Linked DNA regions of Diceros bicornis minor. The protein of the gene in region 1 interacts with the protein of each later gene in a pairwise test. Links are inferred from orthologs where the notes say so. Each region holds a gene or a part of one and is shown on either strand. Other genes may lie near its edges. The genes, in order: CREB3, UNC50, NKG7 and AQP5.

Region 1 (7,290 bases):
GCTGCTGCTGGTTTTGTTTGATATCTGAATCATCATGGCCTGGAGTCTCCTCAGCTGATCCAGAAGAGACCTAGGGGAAGAGGGCAGTGAGCAGCCCCTGGCCTGGCACCCTGAGATACAGTGAAACCCTCCTGTTAAGGCCACTCCCTCCGTCTGTGCACTGGATCCTCTCTTACTTTTTGCAAATGACTTCTCTCTGTGGACAAAATGCCTGAAGTTCCTCATTAAAATATCCCTCTGCTCTGGCGTGACTTAAAACTCTTTTGCACATACCTTCAGTACTTCCTACACTGCCCCATCAGCTATGCACATAATTCTCACCAGGCATTCTATGTTCTCTTCCTTCTGACTCCACTCATGTTAAAGAGTTCCAGTCAGACTGGACTATGCTGTGGTCTCTACCTAGAATACTCTCAACACCCCCACAAGAATCCTATCTGCTATTAAATACCATCTGCCCCATGAGGTCTTTCTTACTCTTTCTCCTCTCTCTTTCTTGGTACTTATCATTAGTTACTTGTGAATTTACTCGCCATTACTGTGAGCTGCTTGGAATTAGAGACCCAGTAAGGGCCAACCACCAGACCTTGCATGTGGGAGCTGCCCAGTTAGAAATCAAGTGTGGAGCAAAGGAAAAAGTGAGACAGCGCCAAATAGGAGGGATGAGAAGGGACTGATGTTGCAGAGCTGCTTACAGATTCTGTTCCTCCAGGAGCTGTACTCTGTTCTGTAGCTCCAGATTCTGGGCTGTGTATTTCAAGACCCTAGGGGAATAACAGGGATGTGGGGATGTGGCCTGTATCCTCCCTTCAAAAACCTAACACTTGCAATACTTTTGGAAGGTATTGGAACTCCAATTCCAATACCCCACCACCGAGTCCCTCTCCCGTTTATACCTGTTCTCTAAACCCCCCACATACACCTTCTTCTTCCTGCGGCTCTCCTGAGCAGACTTTTTGTTTCGAATCTTCCTCCGTACTCGTTTCAGAACTTGTTCTTCCATCTGAGAGAAGGCAGGAAAAGTTATCATCAGAGGAACACTGGACCAAAGAGTTGGAATGCAACTGAGTTCAATCTTCTTCCCAGTGCAGGAATCCCTTCTACAGCTTCTCTGACAAACAGGCACTTGGCTTCTGTCTGAATGCCTCCAAGGACCAGGTGTTAATGCCCTCATAGGCCGGACCCTTTTAATAATTTTAATTAAAAAAAAAAAAAACCTTCCTTATCCTGAGCCAACATCTGCCTCTCTAATTTCTAGCCTTTGGACTTACCTAGTACCTAATCTCTGGGGCCATATAGAACAAATGATCTTGAGCTATTTTAAGGCGCTTGACATTTCTTCAGAGTCAAAAAAAATCTGGGCAAAATTTTTAACTCGTCATCTTATCAGTATGGACTGCATCCGTTTAATATCTGTCAAAGATCTGGGTTCAAAACTAAACACTCAGATGTGCTCTGGCCAGTATAAAGAAGAGAGATAGTCACTGCCCTTCTAGAGGCAACACCTCTATTGATTACAGCCTCCAAACCCCATTCACTTTCTTAGTAGCCATATCACATTGCTGACTCATCTTGTACTTTTAAGAAATTAAAATTCTCTTAACCTTTCTGTCAGTGAATGTCGATTTCATCACAGTGTCACAATATTGTGCTTGTGAAGTTGCCATTTGTTGCTTGAAACTTAAAGCTCAGAATTTTACATTTATTCCTGTTATATTGCTTGGTCCAGCCTTGATAAACTCTCTAAAACTTAATTCTACCATTCAACAAGAGGTGGATTACCACGAAGCCAGTGAAATGTGTCAGGGCCCCTCACTTGCACAGTCCTTTCCAATGCCCTATACTAATGTTGCACTGATAATGTGGAATTCTTTTTTCTTAAAGAAAACACCAAAATTTTTATAAGCCCCACAAAACCAGGAGCAGCTCTTGCATCCAGCATATTAACTACATGCACCAGCTTCCTATTAGCAGGGAATTTGCTAAATTTCTCACCTCAGTCCTTTTTCAAGTTACTGATATAAAATTAACAGAATTGGCCTACTTGGGGCTCAACTTCCTTTGCTGCCTTGCTCCACCAATGGGAGTCTTACCTTAGTGAGAGGAAGTGTCCCAGGCAGAGTAAGCCCCTCCTTCTCCAACAGCCTCTTCTCCTCATCTGTCAGTATCAGCCTAGCAATCTCCTGGGGTTCCAGGGAGGTGGCAGCAAAGTTGCAAGGCAATATCAGAGAGGAATGGGGAATCCTACCTCCACCCATGCAATGTGGGAATATTCCTCCGTAAATCAAATCAAGTACCTGCTCTGCTGGCTCCTCTACATGCAATGGAGTCATCTGGGCCCCCTCTTTTCCATAGCTCCCGCTATCTGCAAAAGAGAAAATATGAATAGCCAAGCCCATCAGTCCTCTCCTCTCCCAAAACTTCTCTTACTTCAGACTCACCTAGATCTATGGAAATATGTTCCTGTGGTACAGAGTAGGTGTGATCATGGTGGACAGGACAGGAGTTAGAAGAGTTGAGAACGTTCAACGACGCTGGGGGACTCAGCAGAGAGCTCAGGAAATCCTCGGCCTCCCAATCCCTCAGTACCTGCACAGGGTTCAAATTAACAGGCCTTGACCTATCACCACCCCCTGCCTCAAGGACGCCCCCCTCCCCGCCCCGCGCCTCCCCGACTCGGAGCCCGTACCCACCTCAGAAAGCGGCAGCTCCCAGTCTAGCGGAGCCTCCACGGCCTCGTGGATCGCCGCCCCCAAATCTCCGCTTTCCTCTAGCAGGAAGTCCAGCAGGTCTTGGTCACCCGGGTCCGACGGCAGCTCCATATGGGACATCTACGGAAAGGATGCGTAGAAACACAGGGGTTCGCCCCTCCACCTGGCCCCAACCCCGAACCCCATGCAAGACACTCCCCTAACGTCAGTCCGTCTTCAACCGGGCTTGCCCCGGAGCTGCTAGCCGACGCTCTCAAAGGGGACACGCCTCCTGAACTCAAGTCTCCCCGGCTTCCAACACAACGGAAGTGACGCCCATGCCCCCAAGGCATTCTGGGACACGGAGTTCCCCTAGTGCGGAAGTGGCGCCACGTCCCGGGAGCCATGCAAATCGAGGGGGCGGGCATTCTGCTGCTTCCTCACAGCCTGAGGGCGGGCATTCTGGGATGCGGCTCCGCCTTCGCCCCAAGCTAGAAAAAGGAAGGATTCGAGCCTAAAAGGGAACTGGGGCGTCTTCTCCGGATCGCGCCGCAGCCTTGCTTCCTGCCAGGGAGGGCCTGCGGGTCTTCGGAGGGTTCCCGAGCATCGAGAGCTGGGGCCAGAGCAGCTTCCTTCAGTCCCCGAAACCATAGAGCGCGGGCACAGGGCGCCGCCCGCGGGTGGGGGACGCTCCGGGGACGGAAGTGGCCGCCGGAGTGTCGAAGGGAGGGCGAGGCCGGAGCCCGAGAGCCACCGGGAGGACGAGCGAGCCCGGTAGCGGGCCGGCGGGCGGGGCACAGAGCCGGGCAGCGCAGGTAGGCCGGACTGGGCCCAGCCGGAACCTCAGGATGGGGCCGGGAGGCGGGCGGGCGGGGCCCCGACCCTCCTGCGTCTCCTCCTGCGGGTCCTGTTGGAGAGGTCAGCGGCCAGTGTATCTCGGTTTGGGCTCGGAGTTAAGTAGGCCGTTTTGCGGGAGCCAGCCCCCTCCTGGGAGCAGTCCTCGGCCTGGGATAGGTTTTGGGGAGGGCGAGGAGTGGGGTGGTAGTGAGGCGCAGGGCGGGGATCGGCTTTGAGGATCAGCGGGTATGTGGATAGGAAAGCTTTGGGTGAGTTTGGGATTAGGTGGAGTTCGGTTTAGGACTCAAGGTTAGTTTTAGGAGGTATGAAGCCGGGGTTAAAATTTAGTGTTATTAGTGTGAGTCAGGTCCGTTTTATGTAGGTGAAGTTTGGATTACGGTCATTATTTTGTTTTTTAGGGTGGCCAAGATAAGTCAAAGTTACGGTTCAGGGTCAGGTTAGAGGTCAATAACAGGAATTAGGTTGGAAGTCTAGTTTTAGGGATAAGAGAACGTTGGCATAGTCAGTATTAGGGATAAAAAGTGAAGAGGTGGGTCAGGAATCAAGTGGCAAATGAGCTTTAGACCTAGGGGTCAACATTTAGGGTTAAGGTCAGGGGCTTTGGTGCTTTTTAGCACCATTTAAAGGTAAATATTAGAAATCAGGGATTGGATACAGGTGTCTGCTAGGAAAGGGGTGAATGTCAAAGCCAGTACTGGGAAACAGGAAACACATTAGGGTTGGGGTTAGTGTTAGGAATTAGGGGCAGTTTTAGGGGTTGTGGTTGAGGTCAGGATAGTGGATCTCGGACACGTGAAATTTAAGATTAGTGGTAGGTAGAGGCCCTGTTTTGCGAGGAGGTCTCTCATTTCTGTGTAGTCGCAGGGGCTTCTTTGGCCCAGAGAAATGACAGACTATTTTCAGGCTAGGGTTCTGGGTTTCAGCTAGAATTGCAGGCATCTGGGACTCCAGCTGCTTTATTCTACTCTCTAAGCCCAAGGCTCTTGCTGTGGCCACAACAGTTGAGGGGCAGAGGTTCGTGGACTATGTTGTTTACAAGATAGGAGGTGGGAAAGGGACAGGGACCCAGGAGATGTGTAAGGCCTAGTCCTGAGTAGGGGACTGCCTAGAGGAAAGGGGACTGGTGACTAAGGGGGAAGCAGACCAAGAAAACACTGTTGCCACAGGAGCGGGGGATGACTGATCCTCTGAAAGTTCAGCCCCATTGCTTCCCATTCTCCTCATTCTCTCAATGTTAAGCTCTCCACTCCAGCTCTCCTCCCTGGCCCTGCATTTCACACCCTTCTTGCATACCCCCTTACAGAATGCTTCCCTTGTCTTTAACTCTCTCATGTTCTTCATTTTGCCATGTGTTCCCAGCCTCAGTTTTGCCTCTCTTCCCACCCCTTAATCCGCACACATCCTACCTTAATTTACTGTCGCCCAACTCTGAGCTTTCCCATCATCTTAAAGCACTCTCCCACCATTTTCACCCGCTCATCTACCTGAATACCTCCTGATCATCTGCTGAATACTCCAGCCCCAGCCCAACACAACTGCCAAGTACTTCCGATGCCTGCTGTGTTCCATCCCTGATTCTAAGCCTTAATTTCTTGGTCCACTTGTAGATCCCCTTCCCCCACTCCCCTGACAGAAAAGAGGAAATGAGACCCAAAGAGGAAACTGGGTCTTGCTGATCCCACGCCCAGCCAGGCCACTGACCACACCCCCATTTCACTCCCAGCCTGACCCTGCCACTGACCACAGCACTATCCCCTACCGAGCCTGACCCAGCCACTGGCTGCACCCCATGCACCACCCCCAACTCCAGCTTTACTTAGACACTGCTGGTGTCCCTTCACTCTTTGCCCATCCCATCCTAATTTAGCCACTGACCACAGCTCCCTCTCTTCTCAGTCTCGTAGCCTGACCTGGCTTCTGACCTCACTGCATCATTCCCTGACTTAGCCACTGTCCACATAATTATTCTTCCGTTTCCCCCAGCCTGATCTAGTGACTGATCATATATGTATTTTTCCTACCATCTTCCCCAGCCTTTCTCTACACCTCATCTTCCCCATTTCCAGCCCAATGCAGTCACTGACCTCATCCCTTCTGCCCCTCTACCTGGTACTAACCACATCCCCATCCCTTTTTCCCTCAGCCTAACCACATCTCCTAACCACAGCCTCATCTTCACATTCCCAGCTTGTCCTTATACTTTCTTTCCCCCCTTCCCAATTCCTGACCTAAACTCAAGCTGCCCAGCCACTGAGTGACTGCTGATGACAAGAAGCTATGGGACCCCAGCCTGACTTTGGGCCCTGGTCCCTGAGGGTTGACAGGACAGACTGTCATCAGTTCCTATCAGTTCTACCTCTTAAAATTTCTGATGAGTGACATCCTCTCCACCCTTCTAACTCTGGCTTCATTACCCCTCACTTCTGCTAATGCAGTATCCTTCTAACTAATCTCCAAGGTAACTGCCAGAGTTATTTTCCTAAAATCTGGTTCTGGTTATGTCCCGTCTCTGCTGAAAGCCTCCCTTGGCCTCCTGTTGCCCCCTAGTAGGTATCATTCCTCATACTCTCCCTAGTTCTCACCAGCCTTTCCATCCTCATCTTAACTTCCCCATCACTGCTCCCTTGCAGGTATGCTGCGCTTCAACCAGCCTGCCTCTCACTTCCCTGAATGCTCCTCCACGATTGATTTCCTGCTTCTCCACCTTTGCTTATGCTATTCTCTCTGCCTGGAATGCTACCCCTGACTCAGCTCCAGCTGGCCTAGTGGAGAGAGCTTGGGCTTTGGAGTCAGAGAGACCTGGGTTCGGATCCTGTCTTCACACCTCATTAGCTGTGTGACTTTGGACAAGCACCTTGAACAAGTGTTTAACTTCTTTGAGCCTCAGTTTCCTTATCTGTAAAAATGGAGATAATGACACCTACCTTGCAGGGTTGTTGTAAGGATTAAATGAAATTATGTATACAAAGCAATTGACATATAGTCAATAAAAGATTGTTAGTATTTCTTATTATCTTTACTTTTTAAAATCCTAACTTCAAATGACACTTTTCATGGAGACTTTTTGGTCCCCTTTTCATCTAAAGGGATCTCTCCCCTGAGCACACACCTCTTGGCTCTTACCACATCCTGCCCTCTTTTACAACTGTATTTAGTTTATCCACTCAGCTGACTGGGAGCCCCTTGAGGACAAAGGCTAGGGCTTACTTTTCTTGGTTCCCAGCCACTCAGAGTTTGGCTGGGGGCCTTCCCCACAACAGACCCTCAGAAATGCTTGCTGGATGAATGGAGGGAGAATGTCCACATAATAGGAGGAGAGATGTTGGGGCGAGTTGTGTGCTTGCTGATAGAGGTGTATTTATGGGGAAGGTGTGGGCATGGGATGGCGTCTTTACAGGAAGATAACGTGGTTGTGATGGGATCTGTGTAGGGGCTGCATGTTTGAGATAACATATATAGAGACAGTGTAAGTAGCTTAGTAGGAAAGAGCTCTGTGCGCAGGCTGGGGTGCATTTGGAGAGAATAAATATGCATGGATTGGGTGGAGGTGGGGAGGGGCTGTGTTGGGGGAGGTCAGGTCCAGCCTTTCAGCTGCCCAGTCCAGCCCTAAATGAGCCTCCAGCAGCCTGAGGCCGGATATGTCAGTCTCACCCACAACCCTCCCCCCGCTCCCCGCGGTTGCAGACTCAGAGGCCAAATTTGGTAACAGACTGAGTGTTGCTCCCCCAACCCTCTTACATTC
Region 2 (7,615 bases), on another chromosome or scaffold:
ATAAGATAATTAACTCCATTTTACAAAAGAGGAGACTGGGGCTAAGGGTTCCACAGTACTGGCGCCTAAACCCAGGTCTCTCTGTGACTAAAACGTTCCATGGTGTTTTCTCTGATATACAAGGACCACCACCCCTACTCAGCCACTGGCTCTCTACTGAGCTCACTCCCCACATCCATTCCCTTCACCCAGCATGCCAGCCACACAGGAGCACTCTATCTGTGAGAAACTGAAAAACCTAACACGAGATTTATACTTAGGACACTACTGTTGTTAAAGCAAACCCAGACAAGTCAGACTGAGAACTCTTCCAATAAAACCTCTGCGTGCATGTCTCTCAGCAGGAAGGCACCAAAAGTTTTGTAACAACAACAACAACAAAAACCCCTTTTCAAGTGTACTTCATTTAAAGCCAAAGATTCCATGAAATAACCCTCTGGATCGTATACGACTACAAGTGACCCACTGACAAATGCCACAGAAAATTGTGCCATCACCCAGACAACTGAAGCAGAATTGGCTAACTGCATAATATTTTTGCAAAATCGGGGATTTTATCAGTATGATATAATCATTATTTCAATTTACTTATTTGCTGCACTTTGACAATACAGACCATCCTTATCTTCTGATAATCTTGGCAGTCAAAATTGATGTTTTCATTCGTCTATCTCGTTTTACTTTCCATCAGCTACTATACCTCTGAAGCAAGCAAATGGAGGCTCTAAGCAGCATCTGAAAAACCAAAGTTATGGTACTTACCACATTAAAGTTGATATGAGAAGACCAACGCCTATACAATCTATGAATACAACCCAAAGGAGAAGCTTTATCGTCTCAAAGAATCCCATGTCCAGCACAAAGCCAAATCCTATAGTGGATACTGGAAAAGATTTACAAGACGCATTCAGGCACTTTGCTGGGTTCTAGGGATATGGGGCCCAGTCCCTGCCCTCCAGATGCCCACAGTCTAGTATGTAAACAGAACCCCAAACATGTGTTCTATGTAACTGATTAAGAAATGCAGACCACCTTGGAACACAAAATGGCCACTGCGATATCTGAAGTTTCCTGAGGAGGCCCCTGTCAGTCTGTGGTTCACCAGGGTAGCCCCAGCATTTAGAACACCACTAGTACTGAAAAAGCGTTCACATATTTAAGTCCAGGTGAAGGTGAAAAAAATCTTACAAACTTCAACACACTAAAGCTGGTTAGGACCCTTTCACTACACTACTGGAGAACTCAAGTAGTTTCTCAAGTTCACATCAGTACTTTTACAACTCTCACTCTGGACCTGCCTGATTGTGAAATGCAATTTCCAATCTCAATATTCCTTTTCACAGTAAGTTTGCATTTGGGTCTTGATTTATTTATCACAGTACTTAAAAGACAGAGTGATTCTGTCCTCTGCTTTTCAAAGCTCCCAGGTAACAGTTTACTCTGGCGTCTGCTTGGGACCTTAGAACCAGAAAGAATACAATCCTGTTTCCTCTGAGGAGATTTCTGAGGCCTCAGAAAGGAAGCAACTGCTTCAAATATCCCCAAATTCTGACCCATAATACATTTATAACAAAAGATTCTCCAAATGACAAGTCCAACGTGAAACACTCAATTTCTCCTTCAACTCTATTGCAGGTAAACTAACACTTACCACAGAGCCAGATACTTAACAGGACCAAGAAAGCAGGGTCATCTCTGGCCCACTGATCCTTTGTCTGCTTTCGATAATGAAAGTTTCTATAAACCCTCTGTGGGGACGTAAACAGGTAGAGCATCTGCCAGGCAGCAAACTCAAAGTCCATCTGCCGAAAGCGAAAAAGCCTTCTCAGGTATTTGTAGCGCTTTGCTCCAGCCGTGTGTCTTGCTGCATCCCTGGAATTCAGGGCTCCGTTCCCCTGCACTGGGGAATTCATTGACATACTTGGTAACATCTTCCTAGATACAAGAAAAAAATCCTTTTACAAGTCATCTCAAGAAACAGCTGGCTCCCATCACCCCTCTTTTGAATTATCCAGGAGGAAGATCACTTTACATTTCTGCCCCAATCCACGAGAAGAGACAGGGGTCAAAAGCGAATGGAGTTGTTTCTAAGGCTTGTTTTGGGGGCTCGAGAACTGCCAGCTGCACTTCAGGCAAGGATGGTACCACAGCCTTCTAAATCACCGTAACAACACTTATTCACACTTCACCTCCCTCAATCCTCAGAGAGCCCCCCCAGGTAGCTACGGTGAGGAAGGGAGGGAGGAAACAGACTCCCTGAGAGGTGAAGTAACCCCCTCTTGAGCACACAGATAGTGATGGGGCCAAAATTCAAATTCAGGCACTCTTGCTCAAAATTCCGCGCTCTCAACCATCAAGCCTTTAAGGGAAAGCCTTTCTTGAAGCCAATTAGAAACAATGTTACCGACGAGATAAAATAAGTGGCCTAATCCCATAGGTCCATCGGCGCGTGACCAGCAAGCAACTCTTTCACTAAAACGTGATACAAAACAAAGCAAAACTCCAATCCATAGCGTTTTACTCCCTGAATGGTTCAGCAGGGGGAATGACAGCGTGGGAGTCCCCTGGAACCAGTCGGAAGCCAGATGAACGCAGGTCACCGCCCGGCCCCCCCGCCCCGGCAGCCCAGCCCAGCCCAGCCTCCGGCTCCGCACCCCAGGCCTCCGGGACGCCAGCAGCGCCTCGCCGGGCCCAGAGGACCCCCGCCAGCCCGGGGCCGCGGGCAGGGTTAACAGATTTAGCAAGTAAAAACAAAGGACGCCCGGTTACATTTGAACCTCAGACACAAGAATATTTTTAGTATGAGCGTGTCCGAAACATCGCCTGGGCCACACTCATACTGAAACACCACTCGTTGTTTATCTGAAATTCAACTGGAACTGGGCGTCCTGGATTTCATCCGGCAACCCTCCGGCGGGCCGAGCAGCGGGACCCGGACACGGTCCCTCCACGGCCCAGGGAGGTCGGGCCGCGAGTCGCCGGAGGAAACGGCACCAGGCGAGCCCGAGCCGCGCGCGGACCGAGCGGCCCTCAGGCCTCACCTGGACCCCGCTGCGGCCTCCGCCGGGCGCCAAACTACCCCCCACCTCCGCCCAGCAGCCGAGCCCAGCAGCCGCCGGGCCAACTTCCCTTCCCGCAACGTAGCCAGCGCCGGGGACGTGACGCGTCACGTGCGCCCACTTCCGCCGGAAGTTGTTGCTGCCGGTTTCCGGTTCCTTCTGCCGCGGGAGTCGCTTGCTCCCGGCGGGTGGCGGCTGGTGCGGCCTGAGGGGGCTCGGGGCGCTGCGGGCGGGAGGCGCAGTCATGCCCCGGTATTACGAGGACAAGCCGGAGGGCGGCGCGTGCGCGGGCGTGCGGGAGGACCTGGGCGCCTGTCTGCTGCAGTCGGACTGTGTGCTCAAGGTAGCGCGGCCGGGCGCTCGGGCGTGCCGACGCCTGAAACCGGGCGGCGGGGCCCCGGGAAGGGCTCGCGGTCGGCCTGCGGGGGCCGTCAGGAGGCGTGACTCGGAGTTAGCTGTCCGGGGTGTAGACCACAGCTCCAGTTTAAGGAACTTGGGCATATGCGCTGTCGGAGCCTCAGATCCCTCCGGTGTTAAATTGGAGATAACGATACCGCCCCGTTGGGTTTTTTGTAAGGATTAAACCACTTGCGTTCAAGCAACGTTTATTGAGGGCCGCCACTCTGGGTTCTGGAGATGTAAAGAAGAATAAGACAGGTTTCTTGCGCTCTAGAAAAGGAGAATTACATAAACCTGGTACACTCCTGGCTCGTGATTTCTCCTCTCCCTGTTCAGTTGTGGCTGAATATGTACTATGTTTTCCCGGTGCTGGTTTGAATTGGTGTCTGAGTTGCAGTTGTCTACATTCTTGGGTCAGTTGTAAATGAGGCAGCTCATGTTGTCACCGTTTTGTATCTTGTGTCCCGTGCACTCGTCCGTCACCACAGCCACACGTCTTCTCAGGAGCCAGTCTGGACGGAGTGCGGCGCGCAGTGAGGGTCAGAGTTGCCTGGGGACCTGGGTTCCAGCCTAGAGCCCAGCTGAAGCGCAAGTGCGTTTTCCGATCACAAAGGCCTGATGAGAAGGGCAGTCGATTGTGTGCAATTATTTTTGCATTCGGAGATGTAATTTCAGAAAGTTGGTCTTATTTCCAAGAAAAGACAACTACCACAAAATGGACATCCACCATAAGGCTAGATGAGTGTTTCTACTGATTCACGATTTACGTTTGGTTCACTGATGTTAGCAGTCAGCCAGACTGGCTTCCCAGTGTCTAGTAAAACTTCAGAGTTGTTATGAATTTAAGTGGTTATCCAGTCTAGCTCTTTTTATACGGATGACGACACTGAGGTGCCCTGCCTTTAGGCTCCCCTGTCCAGGGCTGTTTCCAATCTGCTGCTTCATATTCAGCCAGCTCCTAGTAAATGCCTGTTAAGTGGTAGGTGTGATGCCAGGCAATGGTGATACAGGGATGAATCAGTTACAGTCGCTGCCTGTGTAAGCTTGGTCTGATGGGAAGAATAGACATGTAAACAGGGGCTAAATCCCTTGATAAGGGCTGTGTAAGCATTTAGTAAATATCTGTTTAATGAGTAGATTTAGGAGCAAAATGCCTTGGGAGCCCAGTGGAGAGCAACTTATTTTGCTTGAGAATTTGGAAACTTCTTACAGAGGAGGTGACATTTGATTTGAGTCTTAAAGGTTGAGGAGGAGTTGATAAAGTAGAATTGTGGGGGCTGTGGTGATTGTGGGAGAATCTGAAAGAACAGCATGTGCAGAGTTGGGGAGATGTAGGAGGGCCTGGAGGATGGAGAATGTGACAGAAGGCTTGAAAGGAAGGTTGCCATGTGTGAAGGCCCTTGTGTGTCAGAGTGAGGAACCTGGATTTTATCCAGACATTCAGCATCAGGAAGGCCATGGAGGTGAACAATCAAAGGAATAAAGTACAAAGAGTAGGACTGAGGAAAGAAACTCAGGAAGTAGAGGAGGATAATGGTGGCAAGGAGAATACCAAGTTGGTTTTTGCAGTCATTGATTCGTTTCTTTAGCAAACATTTGAGTGCTAAGCTCTAATTCAGAGGACATACAGATGAATGGGACATGTTCACTCCTGTGTAGAAATTGGATCACTGGAAAGCTGTAGGCAGAGATAATGACCAGGACACATGGCACAGACTTCGTTTTTGCCTCGTTGAGTATGTGGCCTTATTGATGCTGAATTAGGTCACTAGCAGAACCTGATGTTTATGAACAGTCCCTTAAACGGAAGTGCATTTACAGGTTGTGTTAAATTCATCCTGAATTGTGACTGTAGCTGGAGTGTAAAAGGGCAGTACTGAGGCCAAACAATGAGTTTTGCAGATCCAGGACAATATCCTGTCTTCTCGGATGGTGTCACTGGCAGCTACAGCCCACCACTCCCCATAGGGACTCTGAAGACCAAGGGAAGTTCTGCTGAGGTCTCTGCCTGCTCTGCATGGCCACCTCATTTATGATAAGATTTTTGATTCCTTAGCTCTTTGAATAAAGAAGTTAATCTGATCTTTTGGCAGATGGATGCTGTAGTCTCTCCTTGCTCATCTTTAACTCACCTGAAAAGCTGCTGGACCTCTAGGGAGGAATTGAACATAAACAAATATTTAGTTCAAGGTCCTGGGATGGGAGACAGTCAAGGAACTGGAGAGGCTCAGAGAAACTCAGGGTAATGGTGATAAGGAGGTAACCTCTAGTGGGGCTAGAGAGGAGAAGCAAGGAAAAAGATTCAAAAGGCATCTCTTAGACAGACTTAGGATTTTATAACTCCTGAGGGATAAAAACGGTTGAAACTATGCCCAAGGAACCTCAATCACAAGTTATCTCCTTTGTGCCTCTATTAACAGCTTCCAGACTTGCTGATTCCTCATCAGAATCACCTGGAGATGGGGGCCGAGAGCTTACAAGTACAGACTCGACTGCTCCCCCGCCTCCACCACAAATAATTTAGAAGTATCCCAGGTTGATTCTTGGGCACAGCCATGTTTGGGAATCACCAATCTTGACCTCAGAAGGCAAATAAGCTTGTGAGTGTATTAGTTAGGATCTAAGTTCAGGTACACGTTACAGAGACCCAGAATAACAATGACTTAAACAAGATAGAGAATTCCCTTTTGCTCTTGGGCCTATAAGTAGAGCCTGGAGAGCTCCTCTCCGTCTTCCGTGGACCCATACACCATTGATCTTGTGGTTTTAGATGCTGTGATGGAAGATAGGATGTTACTTTCACACTCATGGTCTAATATCGCCTTGCTTCCACATCATCAGGCTAGTAACATGATGGAGTAAAGTGGGGAAGGTGGCCAAGCCACTTTCCTTTCAGGACCAACCCAGAAGTTTTACCTTTCGGTTCCCCCACATAATCCATTGGCTAGATCTTAGTCACATGACCACACCCAGCTGCAAGGGTGGCTGGGAAATCTAGCCCAGCCAGACGCCCCACTTTTTAAAAAGGAAGAGTAGATATTAAGGGACAACTAGCAGTCTGCCATTTGGAGTGGAGGTGGAGGAAGATGAATTAAGATTTCTCTTTTAGGTTTAGTGTATCTAGGTGGATCTTCCCACCAGGCAGTTGGCAGTACGGGTTGAAAGCTTGTGAAAAAGATGGCATCTTAGCTACAGTTTGAGGAAGCATCGGTTTATAAATTATAGTCTTTTGTATAGTTACAGTCTTTTATCTTCCTCCCATTGTTCATGTGGGCAACACACATCCCATCAGCAGCCCCTCATGACGGAGTTTGGAGGAGGAACATAATAGTGCAAGGAAGCTTTCTGCTCTGTTCTGATTCACTTTTGAGATTCACTGATGCAGATGACAGTTGAAATCTAGGACCCAAGCAGACATAAGGACTAGGAAGTGGCCAGGATTCCTGGGGATGAGGAATGCCACAGATGTGGTATCCTGCAGCTTTTTCCACAGTAAAAACTAGGAGTGTGACTGGCACTTGCAAAATAAAGGTTTTGGGGAGTAGTTGCAGTGGTGGGATTGTTGTGTCAAAATCTGCTGGAGAGGAAATCCCTGATGACGAAGAGCAGGTGAAATTTGGGTTACATCTTTCCTGGTGCATGAACGCACCAGGTGTTTCTATGTAGGTAGTACTCTAGTCGACCTCACTAACGTCTGTCTAAAGTGTTTAGTACCAAGACTAAAAGTGTTCTGATTTTAGGGCACCTGATTCTGGCTGTTTGAACTTTTAAGGTTAACACTGAATAGGGTCATTCTGATTCTCAGACAAAGTTGCTTGACTCATTTTACGTTGGAGCTCACCTTCAGTAGGAAGACTTCACGATCTTTATATTGTCAAGCACTGTGTAAGGCTAATGTTTATAAGCAGTGTGTTTTACTTTTATTATTTCTTTAATAGTAATGTAAGGTTTTGACTTCTTTTTCCTTGTGAATTGCAAATCATAGTTTGATGTCATTAAACCTCAGGTGATTCAGAAAATTCAAGTTCCATCTACTTTTTCCAGATGTTATTTTATATATTTACATTCCCGGAAACCAAGCCCCCTTAGCACCTCTCCCTGCTTGTTACACGCTCACACTGCCAGTCAGCGCTTGTACGTGCCCACCTTTCCTAGCT
Region 3 (6,476 bases), on another chromosome or scaffold:
AACTCCAGACTCATATCTCCAACTCCTTACTCCACATTTCCACTTGAAAAGAAGAGGCATCTCACATCTCATGTGTCTAACACTGAATTCCTGATCTCTCACACTCCACATCTGCTCCTCCCACGGTGTGCCCCATCTTGGTAAATGACAACTCCATTTTTTCCAACTGCTCAAGCCAAAAACATTGGGAGCATCCTCAGCTGCCTTCTTACATCCCACATCTGATTCATCAGCAAATAGTGTTGGCTCTTCTTTTAAACTGTCTGGAATTTGATGCCTTGCTCATCCAGTTACCACCCTGGTCCAAACCACCATCATCTCTCACCTGGCTTATTGCCACAGCCTAACCAGCTCTGCCTCTGCCCTTCCCTACCCCCTGCCCCGTGCAGTCCATTCTCTACACAGCGTCGAGAGGGAGTTTTGTTAAAACATGACTCAAATCAAGTCACTCCTCTGCTCTAAGCCCTCCAGTGGCTCCCATCTCAGATGAAAAGTTGAAGTCTATCAAGGTCATATGAAGCGTCATGCGTTCTGGACTCTGTTAACTCTCTGACCTCATCTTCCCTCACTCACTGCAATTCAGGGCTCCTCAACACCTGCTTCAGGTTCAATGATTTGCTAGAAGGACTCAGAGCTCAAGAAAGCTATTACACTCATGGTACAGTTTATTACAGCAAAAGGATACAGATTAAAATCAGCAAAAGGATGGGGCTCACAGGGCAGCGTCCAGGAGAGATCAGAAATGAGTTTCCAGTTGTCTCTCCCAGTGGAGTGTCCAGACAGCACTTACTTCTCTCAGCGACAACGTGTGACAATATGCACACGACATTGCCCACCAGGGAAGCTCACCTGAGCCTTGGTGTCCAGTCTTATTGTCCAGTGTCCAGGTCAGGGTTGCAGGCATGGAGAAATCATATGGCTGGTCTCCAGCCTCTCCAGGGGTCATATTGATACCGTGTGTTTCAAAGCCCCCACCATAAACCACGTTGACATGATCGACTATCTGGCGCGGCCCAAGGACCCCAGGTAAACAGACACTCTTACCAGGCAGGCATTCCAAGGACTTAGAGGTTCCTTCCCAAAAGCTGGGCTAGGCCAACCCTTTCTTTGGTCAATGTTACTGCTCTGCTCCTCAGTCACTCTGCTCCAGCCTTGTTGGCCTCCGTGCTTGTCCAGGCATGAGCCCACCTCTGCCTATACCACTCTTCGCAAATGTCTTTCAGGTCTTTGCTTCAAAGTTACCTTTTCAGTGAGGTGTCTCTGGCGACCCCATCTAAAATCACAACCCTCCCCCTCTTCTCTGCTTTTACCTCCCCACAGCACTTTTCACAAACATACTATATATTTTTCTTACATCTATCTTATTATCTGTATCCCCAACTGGAATGGTGGTGCCCCTGAGGGAGAAATTTGTGTCTGCTTTTGGTCATCTCTACATCCTCAGTGCTTATAAGGCGGCACCCAGCACATGGTAATCGCTCAAAATAATATTTGTTGAAAACTAAATATTTATTCAGGTCAATTGATAATGATATTTATCAACTTAGATTATTTGTTGGGGCCTACTCTGATATTTATTGAGATTTAATATATTTTTATCATCAAAATAGACCACATTAAATATTGGTAAGAGTGAGCCTCAATGGAAATTATGGCACTTTCCATAATAACTGTTAATAAACAGCCATCATGGGGCCAGCCCGGTGGCATAACAGTTAAGCGTGGGCGCTCTGCTTCGGCGGCCCAGGGTTTGCAGGTTCGGATCCCGGGCGCACACCAACGCACCGCTTGTCAAGACATGCTGTGACCGCATCCCATATAAAGTAGAGAAAGATGGGCACGGATGTTAGCCCAGGGCCAATCTTCCTCAGCAAAAAGAGGAGGATTGGCATCAGATGTTAGCTTAGGGCTGATCTTCCTCAAAAAAATAAAAAAAATAAATAAACAGCCATCATTTCTTTGCTATAATAGAATGTAGGCTCAATGAGGGCAAGGGTCCCGAGTATGTTGTGCATCACTGTGCCCCCAGGGCCTAACCTAGTGCCTGAACTACAAGAGGGGCTGGTTGAATTGAATATCTCCAGAGGCCTCCTATTTGCCAGATTCTATGCTGGGTGCTGGGGGCCCCCAAATTAATCCAACCTTGTTCCTGCCTTCAAGTTCCTGAGGTCTGAGAATGTATGGGAAGTGGCAGAAGGAGAGACATTTGGGATCAAGCCAAGTACAGGAAGGCCTGGGAGATAATAATTGGGTTGGGGGTATGGGTACAGTGCTCTAGACTGAGGGTGGGGCCTTGGGACTGGGGGGACCTCAGCTCTGAAGACAAAAACAATAGAATAGAGACCAGGTCCCCAGGTGGTCAAGGCAGGTCTCAGGGCTGGGCAGAGCCACAGAACTTCCATGGGGTGATGATGTTGGAGGTGTTCTGTGGCAGTTGGGGGTTGCTGAGGAACCCCTGAGCCTGGCAGAAGTTGGTAGGAATTGGAGAACGTTGGAAGAGACCCCGGTGATTTGGAAAAACTTGCAGTGCTTGGACAAGACTGGTAGAGACTGAAAGGAACCAACAACTGGGACAGCATGGTGGAACTGGGGACATGAGGGCTCTGGAGAGCTTCAAATCTTGTCAAGGAAAGAGATGGAGGTTCTGCGAGACAACTCCCTCTTCAATGTCGTGTTCAGCTGCTTCTCCTTGGGGTTCTTCCTGGCGGCCTTTGTCTGCCCCTACTGACTTGAGGTGTGTGCAGCAGGGCCCACCAAGGACCTGGGTCTACGGTCAGCCTGTGATGCCTATGTGTGCAGAAGTCTGCGGGAGCCTGGTGCAGGTCATGTATGTGCATGCATGTGTGTGCGTGATGATGGTGGTAGTGGGACTTGGGGAGACGAGAAAGAGGGATATAGGCTTGGACCTGGAGGTGGGATGAAGATGAAAATAGGGGGGTGAGGTAGGAATTACAGGGGTTGGGGAGAAGTATGAAGAAGGAAGTGAGGTGGGACTAGGGTTGGAATTGGGACAGGAAATGTGATCTGGTGTGGGGATGGGAATGAGGATAGGGTTAAGTCTAGGGATGAGGATGGGTTTGGGTTTGGGGTTGAGTTTGTGAATAAGAATGGGGCTAGGTTGCAGGATGCAGATAGGGTTAAATTAGAGGTTGGAGCTGGGGTTAAGGAATGGGTTGTGTTTGGGGTTGGGGATGGGATTGAGTTTAGAGTTGGGTTGGGGAATGAGAATAGGGTTAGGTTTGGGAATTGGGATGGGTTGATTTTGGGGTTGGAGCTGGACTTATGGATAGGGTTGAGTTTGGGGTTGCAGCTGGGGTTAAGGATGGCGTTTGGTTTGGGCATGAGAATGGGGTTAGGTTGGAGAATAGGGATGGGGTTAAGGATGGGATCGAAGCTGGGGTTATGGGTAGAGTTGAGTTTGGAACGGCTTCAAGATCACAGATGGGTTCTGTGCTCTGACTGTCCCCTTACCACACCCCCATCACCCACACTTCCTGAAGCCTGTCCAGATGCTCCTCACTGGAGCCATGTCCACAGTCATTTTTGTGCTGGCTTCTCGCTGCTCATGATCTGGATCCACCTCTGGCAGCCTGTCCTCAGGAGCATGTTCTCAGCGTGGCCAGTTACCCCACTGGTGAGGGTCTGGGTGACAGACGGGGGCCTGCAAATTGGAGTCTGCAATAAAGGAAGAAGACCCGGCCTCTTGGTCACTCTGGTTTTCCCTTTCGCCAGCTGTCCAGGGACTGCCGACTCAGTTGGATTTCACGACAGAGGACCTCTTCCAGGCCAGTCCCTACTTCACAGGGGTTAAGTTTTCCTGGGCTGTGGCCCCTTCACCTTGTATCTGCTCACAGGTGGTGCGTCGCCCAGAACCTGATGGTGGGGGAGGCGGCTCGTGCTTGGAGGGCTGGGGGGTCCTGCACTGACAGTCTTGTGTCACCCGCCCCGCAGGCTCTGATCCTGATGATGAAGCCCACCACACTGGAGGCCCTACTCAAAGCAGAGCTGTCTGTGAACTCACTTATCAGATGAGGATGTGGGCATGTCTTCCTCGCCACAAACTTAGAATTGTGATTCTCCACCATTTGCCTGCCCTGGGCATAACTCCAAGCAGGGATCCAGGAGTATGAGCCCCCCATCCACCTGTCCCTTCTTCTCCCAGGCCTCCAGATCTTTCCTTCTCCAGCCCCCTTCTTTTTGTGAAGACCCTCGAGTTGGGGCCCCCCCCTCCTAGAACGGAAGATAGCAAAACCCACAGGAAAGTATGACACATCCCCCAACTGTCCCCTCTGGTCACATCTCCCCTCCTATTTAACTCACACTCTGGTCTCATTCGTCACCTCCCACCTCTGTGCCCCCAAGCTTCTCTCTCACCTCTCCCAGGAAGCCCTCTCTGGTGTTGAGGGCTCTAAGGTGGGACGCATAGAATCTGAGGCAGAGAGGCAAGTTCTGAATCACCACCTAAACCACGGATGATGTGACACCCTCAGTGCTCCCCACTACACACTAACGACCTTGGGGAGGGAAGGACGTTGTCAGTGCAACCCACGAAGGGAGGGTGAGACACGTCAGCTACCAGGAACTGGGTGAAACCAAACCAGCCTAGTCTTCAGGAGCACACGTCCCCAATGCTTGCCAGCTTCTCTTTCTTGAGCTCAGAAGATCCAGGAGTCCCGGGACACAGCCTCCTCCTCTCTCAGAGATCCAGGAGTCTGGTTCACTAGCCTCTTCATCGTCCAGGACCTGGAAACCCAGAGCTGACCCCATGGAACCCTGTCGGTCCCTGGCCCTGCTCGTTGGCTCCCTGGGCCTGACATCTGTCCTGGTTGCTCTGAGCACGGATTACTGGTTCGTGGCCATGGGGCCCAAGGCTTCAGCTCACTCGGGGCTCTGGCCAAAGGCGGATCAGGACGCAGTAGCAGGTAACAGGGAGAGATCGCTCTTGCGGGGCGGGGTGGGGGGAATGACCAGATGGGATGGGCATTCAGAGGTCTCTTCTTTGAGCAGGCTACATCCACGTGACGCAGGCCTTCAGCATTCTGGCTGCCCTGGGGGGCTTGGTGTCTGTGAGCTTCCTGGTCCTGTCCTACATCCCCTCACTGTCTGCCCCGGGCCGCGGGCCCCTTGTCTCCTCTGTCACAGCCTTTGCTGCAGGTAAGGGCTCCGGGCTGCCCTTGGGCACTGGGGACTGGTGAGTTCCTGCAGAGGAGCTGAGCAGTCTCTCATGTCTCTGTCCTCAGGCCTCTTCGCAACGGTGGCCCTGGTGGTCTACACCAGCGAGCGGTGGAGCCAGCCTCCACATCCCCAGATCCAGACCTTCTTCTCCTGGTCCTTCTACCTGGGCTGGGCTTCAGCTCTCCTCTGGTTCTGCGCAGGTGACTGCTCGGGAGGTGCTCGGGAGGGCCAGCTAGGGGCTCTGAGGGAGCAGGGTGGGACAGGCGCTAACCTCTCTCTACCACCCCAGGTGGCCTGAGCCTGGGTGCTCACTGCCGTGCCCCCCTGCCCAGCTATGAAGCCATGTGAGCCGAGGGCGAGAACAGCAGGATGAGTTTGGAGCACTGTTCTCTGAAGGTGGAGCTGGCAGATTACGTGACGCTCCCTCCAGCCCTCACCTCCAGCCCTTCCCCAGCCCCCTTCATTTGTTTCTTCATCCATTCAACAAAAATTGGCTGAGATCTGGTTATTCCGAGCTTAATTCCGTTGCGACATAAGCTAACCACACGCCAGCTCCATGGTGGGCGACACTGGGCACCCAGGGAGGAGTCAGAGCCGCCCGCCTGCCCTCAGGGTGCTCCTGCCATTGTGGGGACCAGTGTGGACTCAGGCACTGCCCTGGGTCCCTCTCCCTGTCTCCATCTCTCTTCTTCGCCCTTCCTTCTCTTTTCTTCCCTGTCTTTCTTGCTTTAGCTCTCTTCCCTTCTTGCTCCCTCTCTAATGTTGTGACCCTTGCCATCGCTCTAGTCTGCCCTGCTCATTTCATTCAGTCATTCGCTTCTGTGGCTGGCTTTTCCTGAGCACATCCTTTCCACTGGGCCTCGTTGGAATGCTGACGTGAATCAGACCTGGGCCCTGCCCACGAGGGGCTGCAAGTCTGGTGCGCACAGGTGGTTAATTCAGGCCAGATGGCAGCGCGGGAGAAAGACTGACCCGGTCGTAGAGGGTGGAGGTCAGCTTTCTGGGGAGAGGCTGTTTAGGGACTTCTCAAGGGCCAAGGAAAGGTAATCCAGGCAGAGGGACCCAAAGGTGGAGGCGTGAAAAGGCTGGAAGTTTTTAGGTGATGGAAAACGGTGCTTTGTGGCCAGAATGTAGAATGTGGGGGTGGAGGAAAATGAGGATAGAGAGGCAGGAGGGAGCCAGGGCCTCTAACGCCACAATTTACTCTCTCCTAAGGGTGATGAGGAGCTAGCAGAAGGTGGTGAGCAGGAGAGAGTCAGCATCAGCTCCTGGTGCCAGAAAGACCCCTGTGGGGCATGCCA
Region 4 (7,426 bases), on another chromosome or scaffold:
GGGGTGGAGGGGAACTGACACCTATTCGGCATCTCTTGTGTCCCAGCCTCTGTGCTGGATGCTTTACAGACATTAGCTCATCTAATCCTCCTAAAACTTCAGGCAGGTCAGGGAAGGACAGAAGCCATGCAGGGCTTCACTGCAGTCATGTTCCCAATAATGATGTTTCCGTCAACAATGGATTTCACTCAACAATGGACCACATATATGGTGGTGGTCCCGTTAAGATCAGTACCACATAGCCTAGGTGTGTGGTAGGCTTGTGTAGGTACACTGTATGATGTTCGCACAAGGACAAAATTGCCGAACGACGCATCCTTAAGCGACGCATTACTCTTTAAGAAACGTGGCAGGTAACTTGAGACAAGAGGTTTGACAGCATAGGTGATTCTGACCATCCTATCGGGCAATTAAGGGGTCATTCTGGATAATTCCAGGCCAAGACCACCCTGGGCTCAGAGCAGAACTGCTCTTACCAAAGTATCAGTCAGGACCCACTGTGAGCCCAGCCCTATACTGTACTGTGATTATCTGCCAACCCTGTGAGATAGGCAGAGCAAATGCTGTTCTTTCCATTTCACAGATTAAGAAACTGAGGCTAAGAGACTGATCTAAAGTCACACAGCAGTATACAGTGGAACCAACACTTGAACTCAGGCCTTCTTATTCAAAATCCCATGATCTTTCCACTGAGAAGTCAGAGGAGACCAGGTCTACGCTGAGGCAAGTCCTAGGCCCCTCTTGGGAGCCCCTGGCAGGAGCCACAGCACACAGCTGGGCCAGCCCAACCCACTGTCTTATTGGAAACAGGGCCTGGGGCAGGGCCGCAGCACGGCAGGGAGAAAAATGACAAAACATGGGGCTGGTCTCTGCCTTTGGAGAGCACCCAGTCTGGAGGAGAGTGGAGGTCAGACACACCCCAAATCAGACAGAGGCAGGGCCGCATGGAGGCAGGTGCATAGGCCTCTAGCTCCCCAAGCCGGGGACAAAGAAGCCTCTGAGCTGAAGGGAGGAAGTGGCTGACCACTGGGTCCCAGCAGCATCCATTCCCAAATTCCAACTCGGTACCAGATGACTTTGTACCTGCAGATGTTGCTTTGATGTTGTTCTGTATCTCTAAGCAGTGATTCTGTTTATATTCAATGCCTCCCAGCTAGGCTGTAAGCCCTTTGGGGCAGGGCTCCTTCCAGTTCTTGGATGGCATTCTCCTAGCTATCCTCCATCATTTGTCTTGTCTAGCACAGTGCTCTGCATATAGTAGGCACTCAATAAATGCTCATTTGCCAATAAGTGCCGTTTCTTCCACAGCTTAGAAATGGTCAATACGGTCCAAGGTGCCAAGAGACAGACTGGGGTCTCTGGCATGTCATGAGCTCCCCAGAGCTGCTGTTAGGAATGGTGTAGAGGGGATTTCAATGCTGAATAAGAAGCTCAACCAAGGTGGCATGTGGTGGCAAATTCCCACTGCCAGCCTGGCCAAAATGGGCATCCTTTGTGACCCAGGTGTCACCTTGGAGAGAGAGGGCACCAAGACATGGGCAGGCTGTGTGGCCTCCAGAGAGAGCAAAGAACAGTCCCTTTTGGTCCCCTCATGCTGGCTGTAGCACCGTGTTGGGAAGTCAGGGCAGGGACCTCCAGAGTCTGGGATGACACCTAACACTCCATATGTCCAAAACTGACCCCCTGCTCTTCTCCCCACACCTGCTCCTCCCACAGTCCTCCCATCTCAACCCATAGCAACTCCATCTTTCCAACTGCTCAGGCCAAAGAGCTCGAGTCATCCTCGACTCCTCGTTCTCACCCGCCAGGAGAGCTCCATCAGCGGATCCTGTCAGGTCTGCCTTCACAGGGGATCCAGAATCCCAGCACTGTCACCTGCAACACCACCCCTCAGATCCAGGCCACCACTATCTCTCTCTGGACAGGCGCCTACCTGTCTCCCTCCTTCCACTCCTGCCCCTCCAGGCTCTTCTCAACACAGCAGCAGAGGGGTCATGTTAAAGACTCTGTCAGACCACGCTAGGCCTCTACTCTCTCCAGTGAAGCCTGCAGGCCTTTCGGTGGCACACAAGCTCTGCCCACTTCTGTCACCTCTGTCCTATCTCCTACTCTCCCCCTTGCTCCCTCTGCTGCAGCAACACTGGCTGATCCCTCTGCCTGGAATGTTCTTCCCCCAGATATGTGCATGGTTCTTTCCCTCTCCTCCTTCAAGTCCTTGCTCAGATGTCACCTTCTCAATAAGACCTACACAGACAACCCATTTAAAATTTCAAAGAAACTCCATTCCTACCCCAGCACACCCAGTCCCCTTTAACATCTTCTATTTTTCCATAGCACTTACAGATTCTATCGTACTATATGATTTATGTATGTCCAGTGTTTATTGTTTGTCTCCTTTCACTAGCATATTAGCGTCACAAGGCAGTGACATTCTCTGCTAGCTCATGGCTGTATCCCCAGTGCCTATAACAGTGCTTGGTACATAGTAAGTGCTTAATAAATCTTTGTGGAAGGAACGAATGACTCTTCCCCAACACTGGGAATATGTGGAGCCCCGGGGGCATCACCTGCTGCCAATTAACCTACCATTTCTGCCCCCAGCCCCCAACTGCTCCCAGGGAATCCAGGGGTCCCTATGTCAGGAGAAGAGGGAAGGGGCTCTCCCGGAGAGATTCTAATGCCACTGCCACAAATGGGGACACCCAGCTCCCAGCCCAGAGAGTTCCCAGTGAAGCATTTCTCTGGGGCTGGCAGGGCAGGGCAAAGACAATTCCAGGACACCGTAGCTCCAGGAGTTTCTTGTGACACCCTAGGGACTGAGTGCCCCTGATGGTTAGAGAGAGATGGAAGGGGCTCAAGCACAGGCCTAGGAAACGTAACCAGCGGCCCCCTCTGAGCAGCCTTGACAGATGGGGTCTCCTTCTTCAGCCACACCAGGCCCATTCCTGACAACCCCGAGAGTCCCATCTCAGGTCACTGTGTGACCCTGGGCAAAGCAGTCACTTCTGAGTCTGGATGCCTCACAAGTAGCTCAGAATTAAGTCACACAGCAGAGGCCAAAGCCCTTGGTTAGCTGTAAAAAATTGGCCTCAAGTCCTCAGGTAGGAGCTTCCCTTGGTGGCCCAGCCTCCTGTTAGCACTGCCAAGTCCTGCCCTCTCCAAGATGATGGAGTTTGCGACCTATGATTCATGAAGACAGTGCCTGGAGAGAGAGGATGAGATGGAAGGTGAAAGGGTGCAGATTGGAGGCAAGTTCCACTGTGAAAGGGCCTGGCCCCCAAAGGCCTCTGGGGTCCTGAGGGTCATTGTTCCAGTCTGGGCCAGGCCCGCCCTGAGCCCTGAGCCCAGATGAAAATCCTGTATACAGCTGCCATGCTCTGCCAGGGGCAGGGCCCCAGGACCCACGGCAGAAAAGACAGACAGACCTCCTGCCTAAAGAGGAGAGACTTGGGGGAGGAGCTGCTCCAGCAGGAAACTGGGAGCAGAGCAGGAACAACAGTGGAGTTTCTTTGGTCCCTGTTTTCTTTGGCTTCTTACCTGCCACGGAGTACAGAGCCCGCTCCTCCAGATCCTTGGCTTTCCTCTGGGCCCCTCCCTTTAGCCATGGCCTGACAGACTGATAGAGGAGCACCTGTTCTCTCCCTCTGCTGCACCCTCCGGGGGCGTAGCTCCACACAGAGCCCTCAGGGGGCTTTTTAAATGATAGTCACAACATGAGGAAACTTTACTGAGCCTTACTCTGTGCAAGGCACTGTGCTAAGTGCCTCCCAAGGACACATCACGGGAGTGGTGGTGGGGTCTTCAGTGTAACTCCTCTCCTGGGATCCTGGGGGTGGGTCCCTGCCCCTCCTCCAAGCCCTGGAGGGCCCTCCAGCCTCATTCCCCACATGCCTAACCTGGGGATGGGAAGAGGGTGGGGTGGGAGGGCTGGTGGAGAACAGCGGGGAGCTCAGAGGGAAGGGGCAAAGACAGCAGGCGGGGGATTGGGAACTGGGAGAAAGTGTCACCCAGCCCTGGGGTGGGAGGACTTGACTTTGGGGGAACTGAAAAAGCCCACATGTAAGAGAGGCAGACATGGAAAATGAGGTAGAGATAGGGAGAAACAAAGTCACAGAAATTGAGGCAGAGGAACGGAGAAAGAGGAGATGGAAACTGAGAGGTGAATAGAGAGACGGAGATAGGGAGACTAAGGCTGAGACTGTGAAAGGAAGGAAGGAAAAAAACAGGGAAATTGAAAAGGGAGGGTGGGGCGGGAGGAAGAGAGGGAGAGCCTAAGAGACAGACTGAGCCTGAAATGAGAAAGAGAGAGATTCAGGAAAAGACTGCCAGAGGGAGAAGGACAGGGAGACTGAAGAGAGAGATAAAAAGTGAAAAACAGTGCCCGGGTTTGGAGGAAGAGACAAGGAGAAGGACAGAGGAGAGGCAGAGAGATTGCAAGAGGGAGAGAATTCAAGACTGAGAGTGGGTCTGAAAGAAGAGGAGACTCAGGAGATTGAAAGGAGGAGGAGCAGGAGGAAGAGGAGGAGCAGGACAAGGAAAACGGATAGCCAGCGTGGGGGGGCTTCTGGCAGGGAGGCGGCGAGGCCGAGACCCGGCGTGGAAGGGCAGTGGTGTGCCTGCACCCTCCCGGACCCCCCTCCGCCCCTCCGCCCCTCCGCCACAGTCCCAGGGCCTGTTCCCTGACCCCAAACAAAACGGAACCCGGGCATGCCCCCTCCCGTACTATGGACAAAGGGAACTCCTAGCCCCCACCTCCCTCGGGGACTGGCTGGGATTCCCTAGAGGGCTGTGCTCCTGGAGGGGCTGCGACAGCTGCCGAGGAGGGGCGCCTCCCGGGGTCTGCCTCCTCTTCCCAGGATTGCCTGGCTACTGGGCGTCGAGGATCGACAAGCGCGAGGCAGGCTGGCACGGAGCCACTTTTCCCAAAACGCCCCCACTCCAACCCCGGAGGCCTGCCTGGCCGGGGCGGGGTAGAGGCCCAGCCCGGCCGCCCGCCCCCGCCACCGGCCGGCTTGGAGCTGAGTGGCGCTGTCCTCAGGGAATCGCACCACTCCAGCTCAACCGGGAGTGAGGCTGGGTCAGGATGGCCAGGTCACAGGAGGAAAAGGAGGAGCTGGACCCGGAGACCGAAGAGAAGAAAAGGGGAAGACCACGGCCGGAGATAAAGGCCCAGCGGAGGCAGACGCCCAGAAGTTGGTAGTACCCGACAGCCCCGACCCAGCCAAGTCTCCCAGGGAGCCTGGGGGACACAGCGCGGAGGAGAGCGCACGAGCCGCCTGGAGTGCACCATGCGCGGGTCCCCGGCTGCCGGGCCCGTCTACACCGCCGCCTGGGTGGCGTGGTCCAGGCGGGTCCGCTGCTGCCCCGTCGGGGAGGCGGGCGTTGGGCCAGGGGCACGCGGGGCCGGAGACTGCGGCGAGCCCGAGGCTGCGGCGACGTTTCCACTCTGCGTGCTGCGCGGGCCCCCGGACGCGGGAGCCGCCCACTGCCCCCCCCGCGCTGGGCGCCCGCCGGGTATATAACGCGCCCCTGCAGGGCCTGACCCAGGCCGCTAGCCACGCAGTGCGCGCCCGGGTGTGCTGCCCAGCAGCTGAGAGCCAGCCCGCCGCCCCCTGCGCCGCTGCCGCCTCCCCGACGGGCGCCCCCTGCCGCGGCCGGAGCTGCCCCGCCTCCGAGGCCACCATGAAGAAGGAGGTGTGCTCCGTGGCTTTCTTCAGGGCCGTGTTCGCCGAGTTCCTGGCCACTCTCATCTTCGTCTTCTTAGGCCTCGGCTCGGCCCTCAAGTGGCCGTCGGCGCTGCCCTCCATCCTGCAGATCGCGCTGGCCTTTGGCCTGGCCATAGGCACCCTGGTCCAGGCCCTGGGGCCTGTGAGCGGAGGCCACATGAACCCCGCCATCACACTGGCCCTCTTTGTGGGCAATCAGATCTCCCTGCTCCGGACTGTCTTCTACGTGGTGGCCCAACTGATGGGCGCCATTACTGGGGCGGGCATCCTCTATGGGCTGGCACCGCTCAATGCCCGGGGCAATCTGGCAGTCAACGCGGTGAGTGCCCATGGGGCTGAGGGTGGGACTGGGACCCTGGGGCGGGCTCCGGACCAGGCACCCACAGCCCATCTCAAGAATGGGTGCCACAGAGTGGGCCAGGAGGTGGCAGCCTTCTAAGCTGAGGAAGATGAATCTCCAGGCTGGCTGTGCCCCTGCCCAGACTCCCTGGTTCATACCCACTCCTCTGCCCTCTCCGCTCCTGCTGCACCGTCCTGGCCTCTCTTGGTGCCTACTGCCCCTCCTTTCTTGCCCGAAACTTCTTCCTTTTCTCGTGGCTCATCTCTGAGTTCTGCCTTCTTCTTGGGCCCCTCACAGTCCCTATCTCCTCCTCAGTGGAGTGGTTTCATGTAACCATTGGAGAGAAATGGGTTGTAATCCTGGCTTCGGGTGACTCTGGCCTCTCTGGGTCTTATTTTTCTCAGCCATTACGTGGGGATGATCATAAGCTACCACAACAGGTGTCAAGGGGATTCCATTTAGAAACCATGTGTGGGATCGCCTAAAGCAGAGCCAGTGCATAGGGTCTCTGCTGAATATTGGTTCCTGCTCCTGGCCCCTTGCTGTCTCCTCCCCAAGCCCCAGATTCAGCCCCCATGGCCCATGCAAACTGGGTTCATTAATCAAACACAGAGGAGGATTTTCTCGGCCATTGTCAAGCCGTGAGTCAGCCCCACCGGAGAGACGGGTTTGAGGTTGGTACTGGCAGCAAGTCAGGCACGGGCGGGAGGCAGGCTGGAGGGTGCAGTAGGCAAACTGGGCAGCTGCCCACAGGAGGGAGGGTAAGTGCCAGCTTGTGGGGGTTGGGGACTGGGCAGAACCGTTGACAGGACTGTGTCCAGGAAAAGCTCCCCTCATACTCTGCCCTTTGGCCACAGGCCTGAGCTCCAAGCTTTGTGCACACTGTGAAGTAGATAGTCATTTCAGCAAGTGACCTCCCTGATGTGATGTACTCAGGGCTGGGCTTCCAGGTGTCCTTAGAGGCCCAAAGCCCCATCCCCCCAAGCCCCTGGCCATACAGCCAGGAGAAGGCAGAGGTCCAACCCATCCTGCCCTTGCAGCTCAACAACAACACGACGCCAGGCCAGGCCATGGTGGTGGAGCTGATCCTGACCTTCCAGCTGGCGCTCTGCATCTTCTCCTCCACCGACTCCCGCCGCACCAGCCCTGTGGGCTCCCCAGCCCTGTCCATCGGCCTGTCCGTCACACTGGGCCACCTCGTGGGGGTGAGCAGTGCTGCCACGCGGCTGGGGTTGGGGGGAGCCCCTCGGGGCAAATAATGGGGCCCTGGAGCAGCACCCCTCCCGACCACTGAGTGAAGTTAAGGCCTGGAGTGGGGCTACTGTACTCTGGCCAGACTTGATCCCCCAAAACCTTCTCT

The links.
Region 2: the proteins of CREB3 (region 1) and UNC50 interact in a two-hybrid assay, tested with the Homo sapiens proteins (2 studies listed by BioGRID and IntAct). The two-hybrid records come from large-scale screens. The link is inferred for Diceros bicornis minor from reciprocal best matches to the Homo sapiens genes CREB3 and UNC50.
Region 3: the proteins of CREB3 (region 1) and NKG7 interact in a two-hybrid assay, tested with the Homo sapiens proteins (2 studies listed by BioGRID and IntAct). The two-hybrid records come from large-scale screens. The link is inferred for Diceros bicornis minor from reciprocal best matches to the Homo sapiens genes CREB3 and NKG7.
Region 4: the proteins of CREB3 (region 1) and AQP5 interact in a two-hybrid assay, tested with the Homo sapiens proteins (2 studies listed by BioGRID and IntAct). The two-hybrid records come from large-scale screens. The link is inferred for Diceros bicornis minor from reciprocal best matches to the Homo sapiens genes CREB3 and AQP5.

The regions. Positions count from the first base shown.
Region 1 is NC_080767.1:4,150,417-4,157,706, reverse strand, and holds the start of CREB3 (cyclic AMP-responsive element-binding protein 3), read right to left. Parts: upstream 3,024-7,290; 5' UTR 2,832-3,023; coding exon 2,694-2,831; intron 2,590-2,693; coding exon 2,442-2,589; intron 2,366-2,441; coding exon 2,298-2,365; intron 2,184-2,297; coding exon 2,094-2,183; intron 1,004-2,093; coding exon 897-1,003; intron 765-896; coding exon 696-764; intron 71-695; coding exon 1-70. UniProt on the Homo sapiens protein: Endoplasmic reticulum (ER)-bound sequence-specific transcription factor that directly binds DNA and activates transcription. Plays a role in the unfolded protein response (UPR), promoting cell survival versus ER stress-induced apoptotic cell death.
Region 2 is NC_080779.1:14,717,821-14,725,435, forward strand, and holds the start of UNC50 (protein unc-50 homolog), read right to left. Parts: upstream 3,132-7,615; 5' UTR 3,042-3,131; intron 1,936-3,041; 5' UTR 1,932-1,935; coding exon 1,652-1,931; intron 884-1,651; coding exon 763-883; intron 1-762. Other genes in the region: cytochrome c oxidase assembly factor 5, read left to right, coding at 3,304-3,402. UniProt on the Homo sapiens protein: Involved in the cell surface expression of neuronal nicotinic receptors. Binds RNA.
Region 3 is NC_080773.1:26,976,854-26,983,329, forward strand, and holds NKG7 (protein NKG7), read left to right. Parts: upstream 1-4,670; 5' UTR 4,671-4,765; coding exon 4,766-4,922; intron 4,923-5,007; coding exon 5,008-5,154; intron 5,155-5,240; coding exon 5,241-5,375; intron 5,376-5,464; coding exon 5,465-5,523; 3' UTR 5,524-5,675; downstream 5,676-6,476.
Region 4 is NC_080756.1:19,838,032-19,845,457, reverse strand, and holds the start of AQP5 (aquaporin-5), read left to right. Parts: upstream 1-4,281; 5' UTR 4,282-5,682; coding exon 5,683-6,045; intron 6,046-7,106; coding exon 7,107-7,271; intron 7,272-7,426. UniProt on the Homo sapiens protein: Aquaporins form homotetrameric transmembrane channels, with each monomer independently mediating water transport across the plasma membrane along its osmotic gradient. Plays an important role in fluid secretion in salivary glands.